3 linked regions of the Astyanax mexicanus genome follow. The protein of the gene in region 1 interacts with the protein of each later gene in a pairwise test. Links are inferred from orthologs where the notes say so. Each region holds a gene or a part of one and is shown in the gene's direction. Other genes may lie near its edges.

Region 1 (7,302 bases):
TAGTCATGAATAGTTTAGTTTAGTTTAGGTAGTAATGTTGTAATAGTACAATATGTTTACTAAGATGGTGTACTTATATATTCTGACTGAAAGAAAACAGCCATAGTAACATGTGGCAGAAAAAAACACAATGCTTCATTTTCAGGAATTTATAATAGTAATTTCACCTAATATTTGAGGTGAAGCTCAAGCTGTTCACTGTATTTAAACTTATTTTAGAGAATCAAGGTCATAATTGTAATTCTAGGTCAACCACATTGTTATTAAATAGCAATTCCTAAAAAATGTAAATTGCTGCCATTTAGGGGGGCATACCATGACACGGTGAATGCATGAATGAAGTGAAATAAAAGTGAAAATAAAGTCATTAAGCTGGGAAAGAATATTTATCTGCAGTCTTATAAATATAATAAATTGTCAAAAGAATGTCAAATGTTTAAATCATTTTTTTAAAGTTATAAGACCCAATTACCAATATTCGGATAATGATCCACCAAAGTACAACTGTATTATTACCTAACAGTTTTTTTCCCCTGTCTTCTGTTTAATGTTTTTTTTTACGAAGGAAAAACAGACACAAGTCTCAGCTTTTGGGGTAAAAACTCAAAAGGTGGTGAAGTAAAGCCAGAACATGTTGCATTTTTGGTGCATGGGTGGCCTCACTGTCAGCTTGAGGCGTTTGTTTCTATGGTGATGAGGAGGTCTTGGGAAGCTATCTGGCTTACTGGAAATGTGGCTGCATTGTTGACTTTCTGTCAGGAGGTGGGGGGTGGCGGGGGAGCCGTGGAAGGAGTGACTGCTCCCTTCCTTGTGGTGTGTGTCCATGTTTTGGTTTGTGAGGTACTCTTTCATTTGATATGCATCCCTCACCTCTGGGGTCAGTTGGTCTTGTTTTGTGGCCAAACAAAGGAGAGCCTGAGCACAGTGGCCACACACGTCACCGTCCACTGTCCACCTGACACCCCTAATAACACCTTACAGAACACTTCATCAATTGCCTTGAAGTGCAGTCAAAAGCTTTTAAAACAAAGGCCATTTACACATTCACATGGTGCTTACTGGATGTGTAATGGGCTCTGGTGTCATCTTCCACTTTGGTGTCTCTCAGAAACCAACAATGTAAATAGATGAGACAGTGACAGCAATGGTCCACCCAGTTTGAACATACTCAACTAGTATTATTAAGTTCAGCACCACCTTTTTTAAATTTTTAGTGGTACATTAGGCGTTTCTAAACCTCAAGCGTTAGCCTTCAGATTTAAGGTGTGTTCTACAGCCTCCTGATGTAAAATATCAATTGTTCAGATTTTACACACAGTATAAAGTTATAGTACAGTACAGTAAACATATCCAAAATGATAATGATGAACAGAGTATTATGGGTGGGTCACATTAAATGTTTCTCTGTTCTCAACTTGGGAAACTTGCTTGCTTCATCTGACTTCATAAAATATTTTAGAAAAGGATATTTCTTGCAGAGAAAATTAAATTTATTCCTACATCAAACTGATGGCAGACAACAAACAGCATCTGTTGTGGGTAATGAACTGTACAAAGGTAAAAACTCCATAATAGACTGCCGGGCTTTGTTGCCTACAGGGCTGTCAAGGTTACATTAGCGTACACGATTCATTTGGATGGATTAATGAGTAATTATTTTGTTAACGAAAATTAATTACGCCATCAAGTTTGACCCTAATTTCAACTGTAATCTGCCCCGCCCAATGCGCAGATATTTTTTCTAGAGTGGTTTGCTTGTGGTGAGAACGATCTGGTAACGATCTGGTAACGATCAGACCCATCTGAGCTATCAAATATATTACTTTATAACTGAGCTAAACTGGCTCAGTTTAATCTGATATATTAGTCAGAAAATACACTGCTATGAACAAATGCTGTCTCTGCATCTCCATGCTCTTTACACGCTAAACCTGCAGTCTAGAGATGGAACAATCGATCGGCTGTGTATCGGCAGTGTTCTCAAGTCTCATGCTTTGAGCGTGTGACACACGCACCTCAGCGAGTTTACACGCTCACACGCCACACATGGTATTTCTCACGCTTGCCAATCCATCAGCTGTAAATTATAATGTACTCTCGTTGAGCCAATTAGAATATAGATCGCTCTGTTGTTAGGCAGACCTAGTCAAAGAGGGTGGAGTTTCAGCCAGAGTGTCAGGCGAAGAACTGTCCTATTCAAAAGTTCTGAAACACGCGTTGGTGAGCAACAACGCCCCCACCCCCCACTTCAGATATGTGGTTTATTTGTTAGGAAAGGGGCTACGTGAAAATGTACATACATCTTCACCTATTGGAGCTGACGTGTCTGCATGGCCGTAGCCATATTGGAGGAGGCAACCCTGCGCCCCGAGTGCATTAATTTACACTGAGGAAGGAGTAAAATACACCAATAATAATCACAACTCTACCATTTTCACACGGTTTGGTTTGTTTCAAACAGCAGAGATGTAGTTATGATACAGGAAGCTGTCACACATTACAAATACCTGCTTTCATGCTGAAATACTTTATATTATGCTCTTTAACAAAGACAGATATATGGTATAGCATATTAATAAGGTTTATAAATTAATTATATATATATATATATATATATATATATATATATATATATATATATATATATATATTGACGTATATACACATAAATACACACAATACACATATACACACACAATATATATGTATATTTATATTTAAAATTGCATGTTATCTGTCTTCACTCTCTTAACTATAAACTTTACCATGCAATTCAAATATTAAAATCCTTGAGTTTTTTTTGTCATTGTTGTGTGACTCCAAATATGTTTATGAATGAATTCACTTATATAAAATATATACACATAAATACACACAACACGCAGCAGCTAACAACAGCAGGATTAACGGAGTTAGTTAGCTCACAAGCTAACAACAGCAGGAATAACGGCGTTAGTTAGCTCACAAGCTAACAACAGCAGGAATAACGGCGTTAGTTAGCTCACAAGCTAACAGCAGCAGCTAACAACAGCAGGAATAACGGCGTTAGTTAGCTCACAAGCTAACAGCAGCAGCTAACAACAGCAGGAATAACGGTGTTAGTTAGCTCACAAGCTAACAGCAGCAGGAATAACAGCGTTAGTTAGCTCACAAGCTAACAGCAGCAGCTAACAACAGCAGGAATAACGGCGTTAGTTAGCTCACAAGCTAACAGCAGCAGCTAACAACAGCAGGATTAACAGGGTTAGTTAGCTCACAAGCTAACAGCAGCAGCTAACAACAGCAGAATTAACAGGGTTAGTTAGCTCACAAGCTAACAGCAGCAGCTAACAACAGTAGGATTAACAGATTTCTAAAACATATTCGCTCATTCCAAGTATTTGGAAATTTAGTTAAAAGCTCTGGTTTATTGCTGTAATGTTAATTACTAAAAATGCTAAGTTTAAATCAGGTCAGCGCTTGTTATAACAGGTTATGTGGGCAGACAGAGTCAGGCTAAATTTTTAGCCCATTCTAAGCTCTAGCTGGAGTGTTAGATTACTGTTGCTCCTATTAAAATAATATATTATTAGTTATATATTAACAGTAAATATGAGCTATTTTAAGAAGTATGCTGACTCTGGTGATTGGCATATAAAAATATAAATTGTTGTCTTATAAATATTTACACAAACTTATATCTCTCCTGAAAAGTGTTTATTTTGGTCAGTAAAACTCTTCTGTTTATTTATTATCAGAGTAAATTACCAGTGTTATCTTGGGCGTGGATGTAATTAGGGGAATATGTACCATGTTTGCCTCGAGATGAAAGATGATCAGCGATCGAAATTGGCACCAAAAACACTGATCTCTAATGCAGCGTTCACTGTCAAAAGTATGGACACACCTCTTCCCATTCAGTATGTTTTATGTTTTGTATAATATTTTATATTTTATATTCAGCACAGTACCATGCTGCCCCTAGAGGAGCAGTTGCTGCACTACACCCCTAACCCTTCCGGCACTAGGACCCAGCGCTCACAGACCAGCTGTAAACATGGCCACGAAACAAGCTCACGCGGAAGCTGCACGCGCGGAACGCAGTGAGGAGTTATTAAGGTAAACGCGAGGGATTACAGCTTTCTGAGATTCCGATAGGTATCCGCTCTGTCCCGTTAGTTGGTTAGTCTAAATTCAGAGTTTGTAGCCACACATTAGCAGGGCTAGTGCTGTAGACTTGTGTCTGTGGAGCATGTGTGGGCTGAGCTGCCGTCTGAGCGCTAACAGCAAACTTTCTGATGCGTCTGAACAATAAAACATGCTGCCTACTGAGGCCGGATCCTGAGAACAGGCACACCGACATGCCTGAGTCCAACATTCCCACTCCAGCCCTGTGTAAATGCTAACAGCTAATGAGAACACAGATAAACACTGATACAGCACTGGAAAAAAATTGAGACTAACGTTACTTCCGTTTCTGTGAGTTTGCTATTTAAATATGTTTAAGTAAAGTGAACATTGCTGTTTTATTCTATAAACTACGGACAGCATTTCTCCCAAATTCCAAATAGAAATATTTTCATTTAGAGCATTTATTTACAGAAAATGAGAAATAGCTGAAATAACAGAAAGATGCCGAGCTTTCAGACCTCAAATAATGCAAAGAAAACAAGTTCATATTTATAGTTAGGGTTAGGGTTATTTATAGTTAGAGTTCATAAATTAATATTTGGTGGAATAACTGATTTTAAAACACTGTTTTAATGCATCTTGGCATGTTCTCCTCCAACAGTCTTACACACTGCTTTTAGATATCTTTATGTCTTGGTGCAAAAATTCAAGCAGTTCAGCTTGGTTTGATGGCTTGTGATCATCCATCTTCTTCTTGATTATATTCCAGAGGTTTTCAATTTGGTAAAATCTAAGAAACTCATCATTTTTAAGTGATTGTTTTTTACAGAACTGTATCTAACAGTGAATTGTCAGAACAGCAACAAGGAATCAAGTCAGCATTTCATGCGTTTCAGACACATCTAGCACAGCTGATTCCACAACTAACTGACCCAACCTAGCTAACACAGCTAGAAGATCCGCTCAGTATAAGACACGTTGTCACACCTTCTTCTGGCCGGTGTAGTGATCTATAAAAGCAATATATGGAGCAGGTTTCATATCCATCCAGCACACTGTAACTCAGAGGAATTTCCCTAGATATGACACGTTTGTATCTCTAATGATTTAACGTTGTGTTTTTATTGTTTTGCTTTATTTAAATTACTAATATTAAATATTTATATATTACTTGTATTCAGATGAGCTCAGTAAGGATAGTTCATTGTCCTCTGTTAACATCACTGTTGAATACAACCTAATTACAACAAGCTAAACTGCTATTTCTGCTGCATCCAGACTTGTAACATTACCTGACTATTACAGATATTATCTTATTTACAGCACAAAATTTTACACCTGTGAACACTTCTAAAACTAGGCTTTAAAACCCACTTCTTCCGATTTCAGCAAAAAAAAAAAACAAATCAGCACAGCCTGACTTTTCTAACAGTAAAGATAAGCTGCTGTAATCAGTGAAACTTGTGCTTATAGCACTGCAGCCTGAACAGTTTATAAAATATCTGCATACATGTGGATGGCTTGAACAAATACTATGTCTTTGAGAACTATTTCTTGAACAAAAACTGCTTTCAGACCCAAAATATTCTCAAATATGGTAAAGCAGGTATCTTAGAATCAACAGTTTATTCATAATTAATTTGGTGTAATAACTTTCTGCTAGAGAGTTTGTAGAGTACTACATTTTTCTCCCAATTACCCAAGCATTTACTGATATATTACACTATAGACATGGCTAATTCAAAACATTGCTTATATGTAATGTTAGCTAGGTATTTTAGGAGATGGAACGTCATCCCTCATTAGCACAGCATTGTGAGAGAAAGTGAATTATAATAGTAATAATAATAATAATAATAATAATAAGTATTATAATGATTAGTTCATCATACTCCTAAAAGCATTGTGAGAGTAGAAGAGCCCCAACCCTTCAAATGCCTTTAAATGAATGTCAGGCCAATATCAGAATTTTAAAATCAACCAACAATGCCTGTGAGGCGGTGTTAAACAAAGGTTCTTTACCATCACCAACATGTAGTGCAACCTAAATTATAAATTCTATACAATGTTCTTTTCCATCAGGTTTCTGAGGAACTAGTTTGTGAATGACTGGAAGTTGTTGTACAGGAAGATCCTGTCTTAATGTTTTGCAGGCAGCTTGTTTAGCTACAGTATTTCTTCTCCTCTTCACATATTTCTTCAGTATGTTCTGCCTTTTTCTGTCTTTTTACCCAAAGCCCATCAGAGCTGTTTCATGCTCGGTCACGAAGTCATAAGATTCCTGTGAGAGGGCAGAAGGAGTTCTTGCCCACTGGCTCTGAGCAGCAGAAGACACACCTTCAGAAGAGTCTTCAGGAGCACTGGACTCTGGTGGCAGAGGAACGTGTGGAGAGACTGTGAGTCACTGCCAAACCCAATTATCAACAACAACATTTCTAAGGAAGTGTTTCTCAGAACTACATTGCTTTGGCCCTCGGTACATATGTGTTAGGTGATTCTGTAAATACCTTTGTTCAGAGGCTTCTTCCTACAGTCAGTTACCTTTTCCTTCTTTTTGACACATTTGTGTTTAAATAAAGAGCCTTTGCACCAGAGAGAGAGAGAGAGCACAATTCTTTTACCAGAGGTATCCCTGTTGGTGGCCAGTAGGTGGAGCCCTTTTCCCTTTTTTAATTCAACTTTGATGCGCTCGACCGGGGTGCTCATTCCTGGTGGTCTACCATCCTGAAGATTTCAGATCTTACACACCTCAGTCTAGAATCTACACATGTCCCTGCAAAGCTTTGTTAGACTGTTACGTAGGTGTGACCAACAGGCTACAGGGAAGGAGTCTTCATGGTACAGTCGTACAAAGAACCTGTGCTACCTAAACTGCAGACTAGGACCCTAGAATCTCTATATCAAATTAAACATCCCCATCCATTTAGGACTGTGTTCTCTAGCACCCTATGATTCGATTTTATGACAAATCAGAGGTCTGCGGTGGGATTATAAAATGATTATTGATGCATCTTGATTCATTTTTTTCTTCTATACTGGATTTCTTTCTCCTCATTGCACGAGTACTTTGTACTTTTAAAGTAAAGTATCTGTAATGATCCATAATGAATCCTGCAATTTAATAGGCTCTTTGTTCATAGTTATTTCAATTTAGAAAGTGATTAATACAGAAATCTAATTCTAAATTAGACA
Region 2 (7,535 bases), on another chromosome or scaffold:
CTGGTGAGCAGATGCTAAAGTTACAGCCAGAGCATGTTTAATAGGTTTATAACTGTAGTTTAAACGCTTTTTAAATTATGTCTGCGGTGCTGAAACAATTGTTGAAAAAAAAGAGCAAAATATTAAGTATGAAAATATATATACATATGATGATATATGATATATGGCATACATTCTGCACAATTACTCCGTTTGAACCCATTCATTTTGGGCTCACTCCGTAGCGCCCCCTGGTGGTCACACTAACCCAGAGGAGATGCTGAAGTGAGTATTCTCTCTATAAAAGCTCCCATCGGCTCAGTAAAGGAAAGATTCATTTTGGTGAATCGGATCATTTGTTTTTAGTACATGGTTTAGTGTTATTAGGCTCGATTGACTCGTTTACAGGAGTCGTTTAAGGACAGCAGATTCTTCCACAGTTCGCGCCAAAAACAGTTACAGCGGCGTCCTAAAATGCCTCCTCGCGCTAAAGCAGGTTAGTGATTTATTTTACAGTTAAATAAATGTCAGGGTTTATAACCGTGCAACATAGTAGATATTTATGTGAGTAGCCGAGGAGCTGTAGAGCAGTTGTCTAGTGTTAGTTAGCTTGTGTAACGTAGCTAAAGAGTGAGCAGCACGACCTGCACAGATTCATTAGATAACCTGGATTTTATAAGTCTGGCTGAACACCTTCAGTAATACAGCGGGTAGACAGGTTAGCTAGTTATCCAGCTAACATAGATGTTATGAAGGTGTGCACATTACGTTGGCCATGTTTTAGCCACTCCTGGGTCAGGATACGTGGTTTTCTTACCTTTAAACCTGTTTTAACCTTACAGCGATGCAGTGCTCAGAAGCGTTAGGCGATGTTAACTAACTTAACTAGTTAAACTAGCTAATATACTTAACCCAGCTTATATATGTATACGTATAATACTTCTCCTCTGAAAGCCACAAAGACTTTAGTGAGGTCAGGTTCTAATAGTGGAAGGTGGTAGTATGGTTAACTAGTGTTTTTATACCCACGTGAGAAAATGTTATAAGAGTGTTGATCGCCCCCTATGGTATGAAATGGTATGAAAAAATTTGGCACCCCTGATTTTCATTTATAAATCATTGGTTGTTTGGATCAGCAAATTTATTTGTGTAAAAAGGAATAATCCAGAATACCTTAAACCAGAAGCCAGACTCTCAATGGAAGCTATAGAAAGCTTTAGAGGTTGTTATTTCTGCAAAACGGGAATCTACTATATATTGATGTATTTATTTCTGGTATTTTTTATGCACTTTTCTAATTTGGTTTAATTATTTGGTATAATTATTGTACACTTTCTTCAAATTCTATTAACCTTATTTGATTTATTTTAACCTTATTTTTATTTATATTTTACTGAAACTGCTGGTCTGAACAATCAATGATTTATACAGGAAAATAATTAAAATGATCTGTTCCAGATTCTTTTTTTTTTTTAAGATGTATTTTAAGAGACGAGACAAGCTGTGGGTGCAATCTAAAGGAACTAAATACATTCAGTACTAGGGGTGTCAACAAACATTTGGGACTTATAGTATCCTTACCCACAAAACAAGAAAAACAGCCCCTCAGTACTCAGTAGTTAATTTCTGGTTATCTGTTCAATCCATATTGAACTAAATAGTCTCCAATATGTGTGTGTAGGTCGTGGGGCAAAGCGCAAGGTGGATGCTGTTGTGGAGTCGGAGCCAGAGGCAAAGAAGGATAAAACAACAGATGCCGAACAGGACGAAGGCCAAAGAGTGGTCATCGAACACTGGTCAGAATCAGTCTCTCTCTCTCTCTCTCTCTCTCTCTCTCTCTCTCTCTCTCTTTCAATGATTGTTAACAGGGTTAACCCAGATTTTGGTTGTATTAGTTTGTTACACAGTTGATATTAAATAAAAAAATGCATGTATAATTTTTTATAATTAATTAAATTATATTTAATAATATTTGGGAGGTGTGTAATGTATAGAGCTCTCTCTCAAAAGGCTTGTGTTCACATAATGGCTGCAATGTGTTTTTGCCTCTTAGTAAAAGCTGACGAGTGTATGGTCGGAATGCCGACATGGTCCGTGAGGCTCTCCTGGCTGTACATCCCGAGCTGCGTGTGGTGCTCAACCCCCAGAAGCCTCGTCGAAACAGCTTTGAGGTCACCCTAATGGAAGGAGACAAAGGTTATGGTGCAGCTATGCAGAATATAATGATGTCTAAAGTGCTGGTTTACTTTTATGCAGAGTTTAACTGGTCATGGCTAGGTGAGACCGGGATTCCAAAGGCAGGGTTAACAAACAATGCACTAGAATAGTTACACTGCAAACATGCTAAAACAGACCAAAAATTAAAGTCTCCAGTGCAAACGGCATTCCTTAGTCCCTCACAGTCTTGCCTTTTGGTATTGGATGGAGCCTTATCATTCTAGAGGACACAGTTCCACCGCCCCACAGCTTAGTGCCTGGGGTATTTATACTCCTCTATTGAGCCGCTGACCTTGTGCACTGTGCCAGTAGGTTTGTTTGTGTTTTAGAGAGTAATTTTCTATTCTATTGGCAGTATTTCTTTATAGGGACTATACATTTTTTGTGTGTTTATTTGCACATCTGTGTCAGCAATGAGTGAACTATTTTTTTGTTTGTTGCAGAGGTGGTCCTCTGGACTGGCATCAAGAAGGGTCCTCCCCGTAAACTAAAATTTCCAGATCCTGCTGAGGTTGTGACTGTGCTTGGCGATGCCCTGAAGAGCAACTAGAGATTAGTGAGGAGATGGGTATGTTGGAATATCATAAAAGTTAGCTTTTAGGTTTATTACATGCATGCACTTTCTGAAATGTTTATTTAAAAATGTGGAATATTTTTTAAGGAAGTTTTTTTAAAAAGCTTAGCAAATGTTTAATGTTTGATTTACCCTCATTTTCAGTCAATCATCTTTGGTTCTATGTATGCATAATGATGAGGATGGACCAAATGGACGACTTCCAGTCTGTTCTCTGATGTTTTTTGGCAACTAGACCCTGGATGATTGCAGCCTCCTTGTGATCTCTTGCTTAACCTCTTAACTCCAATTCTTGTTATTTAGATCTTGTGATCTATTCTCTCACTTTTTCTGTTTTTCTGTGTGGTTTTCTGTATGTTATGTCATCTAATAAAGTAGGATTTTTCAATATAGCAGGATACATTGGACCAACACTGGAAATTGTTCAGTGGGAATATACAATCCTTTTTAATGGTTTTGCGGTTTGGCCTCGCGTGCATGGCTAACTGAGTGATTCTGCTTTTGTAAAAAATAAAACCAGTCTGGATCTGTAGAGTTGAGGTTACAGATGTCTTGCCTTCTAACTGAACTGTTTTAGTCTGTTTTCTGTTCTCATTAAAAAAATAATAATAATAAAGCTTCTATATTTGTACTTGGTTTGTCTCCTTTCATGACCCATGTATGTTCCTTACAAGATATAAACATATCTAAAGATAATGTTCTTACATAATTTAATTTGCAGTAAATAATAATGCTGTTTTGTATCATTAAATGTAGTTAGAGATAAAATGTAGTTCCTAAAGCTGTAAATACTTTTGAAGATACAAATATTTTGTGTAACTAAGTATATAAAACAGGCCTGCGATTGTTTAGATGTCTGTACATTTTAATTGTTTATCATTTTTGAGGAATTAATAGAGGAGAGGAGAATACAATTCTCCACTTACTTTTTAACCCGTGTAAACTGAAGGAAAACTGGATTAGAAATGATTGAGAATTTGTTGTTTTATTATTCACACTCCATGGCATAATTAGATTTTATGGGAGTAAATATGTAATTTTTTGAAAGATTGGGAGACCCTATGGGAGTATGAAACTTATTGTTTGAATCAGATATTTTAGAGCAGGCACCCAAAACATGCTGGAGTATTCTATCTGCAAAAACACTTTAAGTAAGTATACACGCGTATAGTAAGAATATAAACGGCCTAAAATATTTCTTTACATATTCTTGCAATTTGCTGCATAAATATGCATACATTCTTGCATATTTATTACATAATTTTGTTTGTGACCCACTTGTAAGCCTTATTGTAGTGGACGTAAATATGCCTTCTTACATTAGAGAAAAAGAAAATAAACACATCGATATGTTAAAAATAAAGTATAATATGGTTAAAAAAACAAAAGTGGTTGTTTTCTGAGGGAAACAGTGTGTTATAGTGGGTGAAGAGTTTGTAAAGGAAAAAAGGGTCCTTTAAATCAGGAGCCTCGTGCGGGTGATGTCTGACGGCATCACCACGCGCCCGAGTTGCCTGGCGCTGGTGGGCTGTTTGAAGACCCCTGGACTTGTTTGGAGATTTTACTGGACAGTAAGGAGGAAATACAGCCTGAACTTTTTATTTTATATTTAAACACTTTTAGACCACATGCTTTTATATTTCAGGGAGGAGTTTAAACTCAGCCGCTGGATAAAGAGGATAAATCAGGCGGGCGGTGTATTGTTAGTTTGCTGCTGGGGCTCGGAGCTAAGCTAGCTAAAGGCTAAGATCGCTAACGAGTGAAACGCCTGTTCTATAAAACATTCATTAAGTTATATCACCTTTACACACAAACCTTAGAGAAGATTAAATCTGCAGTTTAATATTATCTGATCTTCCTCAGACGCAGGTGCTTAATAATATTAGCTAGTTAGCTTTCTAACAAACTTTAATATTACTATTTAACGTACACTTCGAGCTAGGTTAAGTTACCTAGATGCTATGTTTATGCTAGGTGGTTGCTGTGATGGGCCTGAGTGGTTACTAAAGTTTCTAGTAGTTGAAATTGAGATGTTGTTAAGTAAGCAGTCGCTACGATATGTCAGGTGTTTGTGATGGTATCCCTGGTACTTGCTGTGGTATTACAAGAGTGAATTCGTTTGGGATTGCTATGTTTATTCAAAGGGGTTGCTCTAGTCGTGCAGTGTTACCCCAGGGGTTGTTAGGCAGTTGCTAAAGTACCCCAAATGGTTGTTGTGGCACCCCATGTGGTGGGTTGGGTGAAAAAACGCAGTTTGGGACACCAAGCATGTCTTGGCCAAAGACTATATTGAGTAAATTTGCTTTTTTTGGCAAACTACTGCAGTGGTGCTTGAAAGTTTTTAAAAGAATTTTACAATTATACATATGATCTAAAACATCATCATCATCATCATCATCAGATTGTTAGACAAGTGCAACTTGTGTGCTTATTGAGATTCGGTTCATTTAATACTTAATTCCTTACCTGGAATCCTTGTTCATGGTTGTCTTGATAGTGGACGCAGAAACATTAATACTAGCCAATATGAGAGAGGCCTTCAGTTGCTTAGAGGTTACCCTGGGGTCCTTTGTGGCCCCGCTGACTATTACAAGCCTTGCTCTTGAAGTGATCTTTGTTAATTAACCACTCCTGAAGAGGGTAACAATTACTGAATTACCTTCATTTGTACACAATCTGTCAAAACTCTTTTTCTGAGGTCCTCAGAAATCCTTCACACATTCCACAAAAATGTGTTGGGAACACTTTGATAGATCCCTGTTCTTGAAATTGAACTGAGTGCCATTCTGATTGTCATTCTATTGATTAAAAACACTTGACTCTAATTTCCTCCATATTCATGCATTCAGTAAAAAAAATATGTATGGTCGGATAGTGTGCATTTTTGGAAAAAGCCGTGGATGGTTTATTTTCCATCACCTCTTTCCTTGCAGACATGAGTACAGAGGTCTCTGAAAAACCTGGTGAGGAAGGAGGGAGTACTGGAGGAGGCACTGGGATTGTAGGGACACGTTATGACTTAGAGAAGGAGACTGAGCTGCGCTTTGAAGTGGAGTCTGGAGAGCGGGTCCAGCTAGAACTCCTGACTGGCATGGGCGAAGTGTTCGGCTCTGAACTGAACAGAAATAAGAGGTACACGTTCGGCCCAGGCTCTAAGATCGCTGTGTTCACCTGGCAGGGCTGCAGCCTCTCACTCTCAGGAAAAACAGAGGTAAGGATCATGAGTACTGCACACCCGTTACTGACACTGACAACTTTAAATGCCAATTTCAGTTTGACACAGGATTATGACTTTGTGTCAAACTTGTTATCACTGTTGTGATGTTAAATAACCAAAATGCAACATTAGCCAAACATCAAATTTGTCATAGTTTCTGAATATGTGACTTTGATTTTCAAATAAATTAAGTGATTTTACAGTGTTTGGTTTTATGTTACTATCTGTGTGTGCCTACAGAGCTGTATTCTTTCTTGTGGTAAGCCTAGGGACATGTGTGAATCAGAACTGCAGAAGAGGGGGTTGTATACACTCCATAAATTTGACATAGAGTGTATTGGGACTGTTTTTGATCATTTAGGGACTGTAAGTTCTGAAGTTTGTAGAGTATCTTATATGCTTTGTTCCTACATGAATTGTTCATTATGTCAGCTCCACTGACCATTCAGAAAGTGGTGTTATTGTTATGTTTAATCGGTGTAGTGATATCCTTATTACATTTTTATGAATAGTTACCCCACCATACTGAACCTTATAGTAGTCTCATTCTTTTTGAATATCACTGTCCTGTGAAGCAGCAACCCATATTTTACACACCCCATTTTGCAAATTAAGGCAGTAGTTACTTTAAACAGGTGGGGTTATTGTAGTTGGATCCAAAATTGGAATTTGGAAGGTATCTCTCCAAGCAGCAGGGTTGAAGACCACTTACTTAAGCAATAGAGCCATGAAGAGGATAATCAAGCATAGAGAAAGGAAGTTCTCTGGAAATTTGTTTAAAATAAAATTATTAAAATTAGTAATATGTCTTTTTGTCTGTAGGTGGCATATATCTCTAAAGACACACCAATGTTGTTGTATCTGAACACACACGCTGCACTGGAGCAAATGAGACGACAAGCTGAGAGAGACAATGAGCGGGGTCCAAGGGTATGTCACTCCATTCACACATTTACAGCTCCAATCACAAAGCAGGTAGACTGGCCTAAATCTGATCTTTCTAGACAGACAAGACATATTTCTTAAATGTGAGCCAAGATGACTGGCAAACAACACACTGTATCTGGCATTTTCAGTTGCAGTTAAGGCAACTTTTAATATGGTGCATATCCAATACACAGTAATGCAACTCTGAACAGCCAGATAAGAATTTAGCTTGAATTTAATTAAAAATACACGCTGAGCAGAGGACAAAATGGATTGCTAGTAGCCCAGATATTGCATTCAGGTATTCCTATGCAGCAGAATACCTAATTTGTTTAGACTAACGTTGGCTAGACTACATTAAATTTAAAAGATACTGTAAACAGCCAAAAAAATATGAATTGGTGACTATCTGATTTGGGTCACTTTATCAGCTGTGTGAACATAGTCTTTGCAGTCAGTTCCCTTGCCAAGTGGCTTCTTTCGTGCTCTTTTTACTTTGTCAAAACAATCAACACAAAGTAATAATTCTAAAATACACTAGTCAGTCAGAATCAGTTAAGTACCTCTATTTATGAAAACAAAAGTTGCTTAATTAGTTTGTTCTATAATGTTTTTCAGAAA
Region 3 (7,831 bases), on another chromosome or scaffold:
GATCATTTGCAGGCCGGGAGGCCAGTTAGCAGGGCATTGCAGTAGTCGAGGCGTGAGATGACGACTGCTTGTACCAGGAGTTGGGTGGCCTGTTGCGTCAGAAACTGTCTAATTTTCCTAATTTTCACCTGTTAGTGGTTTTACTCTTATGGCTGATTGTCATATATAAATGACAACATTACTATTCTGTGCAATTCACTCTCTAGGTAATTTACTTCCTATTCTATATCTGTTATAATAGGTATACTAACAACTGCATGTAAACAGCATCATAATACAGATCTTTATTTAAACCAATTATCCATAACATTAAAACCCTTGACAAAAAATGTGAAAATGAATGACTTTTGTTCCAGTGTTTCCTGTCAAGGTATAGATATAGGCCTCATCGTCATCATATAGAACTGAAATTTTTTGTGAGTAAAATTTAATTATACTCAATTATTTCCCATTTTACACTCTATATAAGCCATACCATTAAAACCAGTCTTACAGAATACAAGGCGCGTGGTTTTAATGTTATGGCTGATTAGTGTAAATGAAGATTTGTATATGATGCTGTTTACATGCAGTTGTTAAGTATATCTATTATAAGAGATGTAGAATATAAAGTAAATTACTTAGAAAGTGAATTGCACAGAAAGTGATGTTGTTAGTAGATGTACTGTACTCTTTGTCTCTGCGGTTGCTGATTTGACTGAGCTGAACTATAGAACTGGTAGCTCTGAGTTCCGTTCTTTAGTTTTGCAGGAAATGCACTTTTTTCATAAAAATACAGCATTATAAATAGACTGATGTTTAGAAGCCTCTACTTTTGTATCTACTTTGTCCATAACTGATTGTAACAAACCACAGTGGTTTCACACTAAACTGAACATGCTTATAAAAGAGACCACAGAAATAAATGTAGTATCAAACATCTGACGAGTATGTTCATGAGAACTGCTAATTACCTGCAGCATTTTTAGTTCTCTCATAGTCTTCTCATAGTTTTGAGCTTATAAGGCCTCTTTCAATAACTATATTATTAACTTGTTATCCAATCCAAACATTTTACCTTAATAATTTTTGATCTCAATATTGGACATTCTTGTTTTTCTTGAAAAAAAAGAGCCTAGTAATGTGAATGAGTTGGTGTGTTGATTTTGTGTAAAAACAGTTATTGTATTTATGTTTAAATTATTTATTTATAGTATATTTCGATATAAATGGTCCTAATAATTAAAGTATCTTGCTCTTTAAATGGGTGTAATTATATTAATCTAATGTCTGGAAGTTTTTGTTGACATACCTGTGGTTTGTTATTAGGGCTGCGCGAAATGGCTACAAAAAATAGCCATTGTGAAATAAAGGCATCATGCAATTCTTTTAATTACAATGTTTCTACAACACAATTTGCTAAACATTTGGCACAAGAAACCACACAAACACAGATGTGAAATATTATTATTATAATTTTATATACCATTTAATATATATATATATATATATATATATATATATATATATATATATATATATATATATATATATATATATATATATATAATATAAAGAATAATCAGACACTATTTGTTCTATATGTAAAAAAATAGTGTCTGATTATTCTTTGATATATATATATATATATATATATATATATATATATATATATATATATATATATATATATATCAAAGAATAATCAGACACTATTTTTTTTACATATAGAAATGTTAAATATTCAAAATAAATAAAACACAAATAAAATAAAAACACTCATTCAGGTTTATGGGTTCTTCTTACTAACAGAACACAATTGGAAATTATGAGGAAATTATTCTTTAAGTAATATTATTACATATCTCCCATTTATTTAAGTTAGGTTGTTTTTTATATATATATATATGTTTTTTATACATTTATATATATAAACATATTATGTATTCTACTGTAAAATCCCATATAAAAACTATATGCTATATAAACACATACCTATTCTATGATGCATGTGTACTTTGCATACATTTTTAAATTTTTAACAAGTAAAGATAGAAAAGGGTGTACATTCCTCACAGTGAGAACTTTTTTGTGGTGGACAAATCATCAACCATGAACTGCATGCAAGCTGAATAAGCCAGTTTAACTCTCCCAGCCAGTCTCATTTTCCACCCACATTCAGTTCTGAGAACCCTTTTTTTAGCTTTTGTTGTCTACAAGAACTCTGTCCTCTCAGGTGCAACCAGTGAAGAATCAGGTCACCGATTGCTCAAATGGTATCATGTTTTTTGGCTTTGTAAAAGTTCACCAACACTGGCTGGATTTCACTGTGTCATCTGCGTTCATGGCCAAATTCGTCATTTGGCTGCTGATCAAACTAAAATTAACTGTAGTTAACTTTTGCTATTTATTTTTATGATGGTCATTTATAAAGCTGTGAAATAGATATTATATCAGAAGTAGATTTTTACATTTACGTTCATTCTTTCTTATATAAATGACAATCATATTGTTTTTAAAATATATTTTCTTTGCCTATACTCCGCTTTAGGAAGGTGCAAATGTATCTTATCACCTTAGCAGCAAATATAAGCCAACCATTCTAGAATTATGCATCTACATATTTTGTCTCTTTTTGACTTATTCTCAGACACATTAACGTTCCTTTAACTGTGCTGTATTTAATATACAAGCTGGCAGGATGCCTAACATGATGCCTACCTCAAGGCCCATTTATTCAATGGGCAACATGCTGGTTAAGATTACCCCCTAGTGGCTGATCTAAAATGTGAAATATTTTAAGAGCTCAAAGCAGCACACTGATTACCATCAAAATCCAATTTTAGCTAAGCAACAGTGACATCTATCAATTTAATTGAGCGGATGAAAAAGTAGACTTCATACGGATACACTGGAGCAGTAGTATAAGTTTTAGCGTCTTAAAAAACACTCGAAAAGTACAAATTCATCAATATTTTACTGGAAGAAGGTGCCTGAAACTAGGAACCAACTCTGACAAAGAGTGATAGTATGAACCCAGTGAAAACCAGAAATGCTTGACAGTTTCTTGGAATCAGAGATTTTTATGTCAGGGTTTTTTCTTTGTATTTTAGGGGACACACCTCAGACTTTCAACTTGTCTGAAATCACAGCATGGTTTGATTTAGTGGGGAATCTGCTAAGTTCAATGGATTATACTGTACATATACAGCAGGAATGTTTGAGCCTTAAACATTTATTAGCAATATTTTATTCTATTATATTCTATTAAATTAATTTATTCTATTAAATACATATTTAACTTTGTATTTACACACAATAATATTGTTTTATATTTTTGGAAGTATTCATTAATATATCCAGGATCTAATGCCAATAAAGAAGCTGTTAAATTATTTGTTTAAATTATAGGGACATGGGTACTGATATTCTAGCTTTTGGTAGTATCATGAATGGAATAACCAGTCAACTGTCCTTCTAGCATTCTGGCTGTTGTCCTATTTTATTTGTAATTAAATGTAGAAACACCCTTATAAACAAACAAATAGTTAGCAAAATCTTATATGTTATATGAATATTATATAACTGTATAAAACTGTCATATATCGGTGTGCTCTGACTTTGGTGGATTGGCATTTTAACATTCACTGCTTCTTTGCATCTCAGCAGAGGAAACTGTCCTGCTTAGTAACATTGTGAAAGTGTGCAAGCAGGTAATTTACGGAAATGTTATTTTATTTGCTAATTGTTAATGGAAAAGTTGGGTTTGTGAGTGCTGCATGTTTTGTGTGTGTGTATGTGGAGCGGGGGTGTATGCACATTAAGCGTGCATTGTGCCTGAGTTGCCAAGATAACAATGCACATCTGACAGTTAACTGTTGTTAGGGTTCTTGTCAGTCAGTGATGCACCTGTTTTTTTTATTGTCAAGATAGCAATACCTGAACACACCTGACTTCCAGACTGCCATGCCCATCTGTGTAGATATATTTGTAAGCGTCTTTGCTTCTTAAAAAATGCAAACACAAGGCGTGAAAATAGACTGTTGATGGAGTGGAAGATAGCAATAAGCATTGCAACACGCTTTGCACAGGGTGTAAGATAGAGTCCAATGTTAAGCTAAGCTAAAGATGTTGCCATGTGGATCAGCCCGACATCTTCCTGTAGCAGTTTTCTCCAGTTTCTGAAGGTCTTTTGAATGTGTATGAAACAGTACTCACCGCTTTCTTTCGTAATCTGTAGCTATTTTCTTTAAAGAAAAGACTTTTAATAGTTACAGGGTTCTCTGTGTTGCTGTGTCTTTTTGTAGTTTCTATGATGAAAGTGTAAATGTGCAGTGTGTAAATGCTGCAGTAGAGAGTGCAGAAACACAATTTGTTCCAATAATGCTTGACTAAAGACTACAGGCTAAACAATTTCCATAGCTTTTTCCTTTTTACATTATACATTTTTTTATTTAATACAATTTTTTCTTTAAAAGGCCTGATAGTTTACTGCTAACTTTTCTAGGTTACTATTTTATGTATTTCACGTCACCTGAACATCTTAAATGGCAAAAACAAACAGAAATAAAACAACTGCTTCAAAACGGACAGGAACCAAATACTAGTAGCTGTGAACTCGGTGGACGTGTTTCACTGTGGCACCGGAACTGCAGGTTAGTTAGCATAGCACAGCGTAAGCTAAATACATGAATGGAACTAAATGTGTGGATTTAAAGTTTTGTTTTTTATATTTCTGTGAGAAATCTGTATAAAATGTTCACAATGATTTCAAAGAATTGTCATTTTCACTCACCCCAGTATCTGTTTTTGCCGTTTATCCAACTTGCTAACCGCTCGTTCAGGGAAAGCTAACGTCAGTTACAGCAGATGATCAGCGTGCTAAGCTAACTGCCTGTCTGTCTCCAGGGTTACCAACCAGCTAGCGTAGCAGCGTCTCTAATCTTGTTTTTCTGAGGCGTTAAGCCATTGTTTACTAGAATTTAGGGTGTTTCTTCTTACTTTAGAAATCACTTAATATCTACAAAAATCTGTATTGACATCTTAATGTTTCTTCTGAGCTTTGTTTGTATTGATTTTCTGCAGTTAGAGCCTAAAGTTACTCTTCTGGGAAGATTTATCTGATGATTTGCTAAAATACATCTCCACCAGAGCATCAGTTAGAACAGGTAGATAGCTAACTAGGGGTGAGCGATATGGCTCTAACATAATATCACGGTATATCATGGTATTTTCACGATAGTGATTCTCTTGGCGATATGAAAAAAAAAACTGAATAAAAAAATTCAAGAATATACTACTGCAACAAAATGAAAATTAAGTATTATTATTGCCTATGATATGATATGGCACACCATTAACTGAGATATTACAAAATACAATTTTATCAGATTTGTAGCAGAAGTCAATGATCCAGAATGTCATGATACTAATAATACACTTCAAATATCTGTATATATCCAGTATTAAAGTAAAATTAATAATACTGGACAAACACAATCTGTCTGTAGTAGAAAGATCATGGGAAAGGGGCAAAAAAAAAACTTGGGGGGCCCCCCTCTACAACCAGCCCTGCTAAGGAGTAAGAACTTGGGACAGGGTTGCAAAAATGAGGTCTAGAAAAATATATATTTCTTTTTATTAGTGAAATGTTTACAGAATAAGTCTTTTTGACCACACCAGCACTTTGTAATCCTACAGTTCTTATATGTTCTCTTTATATACATTTCAGCAGATATGGAAGCGGTGTTCCAGGCTCCAAAACGGAGACCAAAAGTTTACGAATCATTTGAGAGCCCACTGCCCGTTCCTTTTACCTCAGTCCAAGGCACTTCCTCACTTCAGGGGGCCCTCATATGCAAAGCCGAGATCATAAACCAGCACGTTATAGTACGAGAAGCTGACCACATTCAATCACTGTATGGAAAGGTAAGTTTTAACAATATGTACCCTTTTTATTGTTGCTGTTTATTCAAGCAAACCTTTGGATGTTCAGCTTTTTAGGTTTTAGTAAAGTATACTAAATTTAATTTTAATGTTTTAAATAGAGCATTATGCCGACCTTACACCTAACGATTTTTAAGCGATTTCTCTCTCGCAGACAGATTTCCAGAGTCGGGATAAAATCACTAGAGTCTGGCTAGAGTCGGGCTACAGTCGAGTCGCGGTCGCATCATTCGGATCGTTTAGTATAAGGTGGTTATGACTGAAAGTTTTAGTCAGTCAGGTTTGCGTCCTGGCGCTCAGATAAAATCAACCGTGTTTAATATTATCTCAAGTCTTGAGACTCAGCTCACGCAAATAGTGACGTGAACAATGTCAGCAACCAATAGGAGAGGGAGCTACGGGAAGAGGCAAGAATATATTTCACGTAACTGTTCACATACAAACTATTTAAAAAAGAACAGATTTGGCAGTTAATATGCCTTATATGGTTCTTACTTTAATATGTATAATTTTTTAAACACAGGTTGCACTTTAAAGTTATTATATTTGTAGTTATTTTATTTTGCACTACTCTGTCTTATTGTGCTGTGTTATTTTTAATAAATACACATTTTGCAAGAATGATGTCCTTATTGCAATAATTCTATTTAAAACAAAGGCAAATGTATAGCAGCAAAGCTTTGATTATTTGCTGTACACAAATGTAGCAAAAAGGGGGGAAAAGAAGTTTATAATCAGAGCTGAACACAAAATGTATTCTATTAAGTAATATCAAGAACAAACAGTGTGGCAGAAAAAATTAACTGTTGATGGGGACACATTTTGTGAGTCTCTGATAAATCGCATTATTGACTGTAATTTAATTATTTGTAATTTAATATGTAATATGTATTGTATGTAAACTCCACCTGAAGCATGATGGTAAATAATCTCAGAAAGAATATAGTTGTAGTCTTGCAGTTAGTGATCCTCAGTCTTTGCAAAATCTTAGCCTGTGACTATTCTGTGAGTAAAAAGTCTGTGACAAGTCTTTAGATGTGAGAGGGTGTCAGACTTCAGTCTTTTCAGAGTCTTTTCAAAGTCATGTAGTGTATGGACAGCTTTAGTTGTATTTAGATTTTTTACTTCATATTTTATAAATTTTTTTCTAGGGTTATTTTGGTAAAGGAGTTCTGTCAAAAAGCAGACCAGAGCACAGTATTTCAGAACGGTGGGAATGTGAGTATTGATTTGAATTTGTATTTCGCTAATTTCATCTTTACATGTTTACAATGAAAATGTTGTAAGTTTTAACTGGCAATTAAAATACAATACACTAAAAAACACATTATTTTCTTCTGTTTATATCTAGACATAGGCAATGAATGTTTACCTGTTATCCCCTTGTCAAGGTAAGTAGTTGGCACTTCATAATTGTGATTGTTTTGCTGTCTGTAAATTATAAATATCTTCAAGGCAGCAATTATGAAAAATAATAAAAAATAATTAAAAATGAAAATTTGTTATTCTGCCTTCTACCAGATTATTTCACAATACTTTTTTGTTGATAGATGTTAGGAAGGAAAAATAGGTATTATGTATTATCTAACAGATGCATATTATATTATGTCTGCCCAATATAATTAAAATGTTACTTAAACTTCTGATGAAAATTCCTGCTTTTTTAAATATCACAGATTATTATATTGGAAAAAAAATATTATACAATCCTACAAACAGTGTTGTCTACTAAGATTAATCTGCGCACTGCTCATTAGAATTCATTCGATCGCATAAAACCCTCAAGAGGATTGCAATGAATCTTGCCCCTTAAACAGGTTTTAGAAGAATCTAAATAATATAAAGAATGTCTCACTCATTTCTGTTACGTTAAATGTGTTCTTTATTTGTTCTGTTCCAGATACCA

What was found. The genes of interacting proteins can lie anywhere in the genome.
Region 2: the proteins of tsen54 (region 1) and clp1 interact in binary tests that used the Homo sapiens proteins (3 or more experiments, as listed by UniProt). The link is inferred for Astyanax mexicanus from reciprocal best matches to the Homo sapiens genes TSEN54 and CLP1.
Region 3: the proteins of tsen54 (region 1) and tsen2 interact in a two-hybrid assay, tested with the Homo sapiens proteins (2 studies listed by BioGRID and IntAct). The two-hybrid records come from large-scale screens. The link is inferred for Astyanax mexicanus from reciprocal best matches to the Homo sapiens genes TSEN54 and TSEN2.

Annotation. Positions count from the first base shown.
Region 1 is NC_064426.1:11,616,630-11,623,931, forward strand, and holds the start of tsen54 (tRNA-splicing endonuclease subunit Sen54), read left to right. Parts: upstream 1-3,989; 5' UTR 3,990-4,036; coding exon 4,037-4,098; intron 4,099-6,347; coding exon 6,348-6,506; intron 6,507-7,302.
Region 2 is NC_064417.1:23,193,166-23,200,700, reverse strand, and holds the start of clp1 (polyribonucleotide 5'-hydroxyl-kinase Clp1), read left to right. Parts: upstream 1-4,235; 5' UTR 4,236-4,341; intron 4,342-5,703; 5' UTR 5,704-5,705; coding exon 5,706-5,981; intron 5,982-6,010; exon of another isoform or gene 6,011-6,201; coding exon of another isoform or gene 6,202-6,246; intron 6,247-6,809; coding exon 6,810-6,917; intron 6,918-7,535. UniProt on the Homo sapiens protein: Polynucleotide kinase that can phosphorylate the 5'-hydroxyl groups of double-stranded RNA (dsRNA), single-stranded RNA (ssRNA), double-stranded DNA (dsDNA) and double-stranded DNA:RNA hybrids. dsRNA is phosphorylated more efficiently than dsDNA, and the RNA component of a DNA:RNA hybrid is phosphorylated more efficiently than the DNA component.
Region 3 is NC_064431.1:12,867,604-12,875,434, reverse strand, and holds the start of tsen2 (tRNA-splicing endonuclease subunit Sen2), read left to right. Parts: upstream 1-4,531; 5' UTR 4,532-4,634; intron 4,635-4,859; exon of another isoform or gene 4,860-5,147; intron 5,148-5,179; exon of another isoform or gene 5,180-5,592; intron 5,593-5,710; 5' UTR 5,711-5,715; coding exon 5,716-5,907; intron 5,908-7,076; coding exon 7,077-7,143; intron 7,144-7,276; coding exon 7,277-7,316; intron 7,317-7,825; coding exon 7,826-7,831.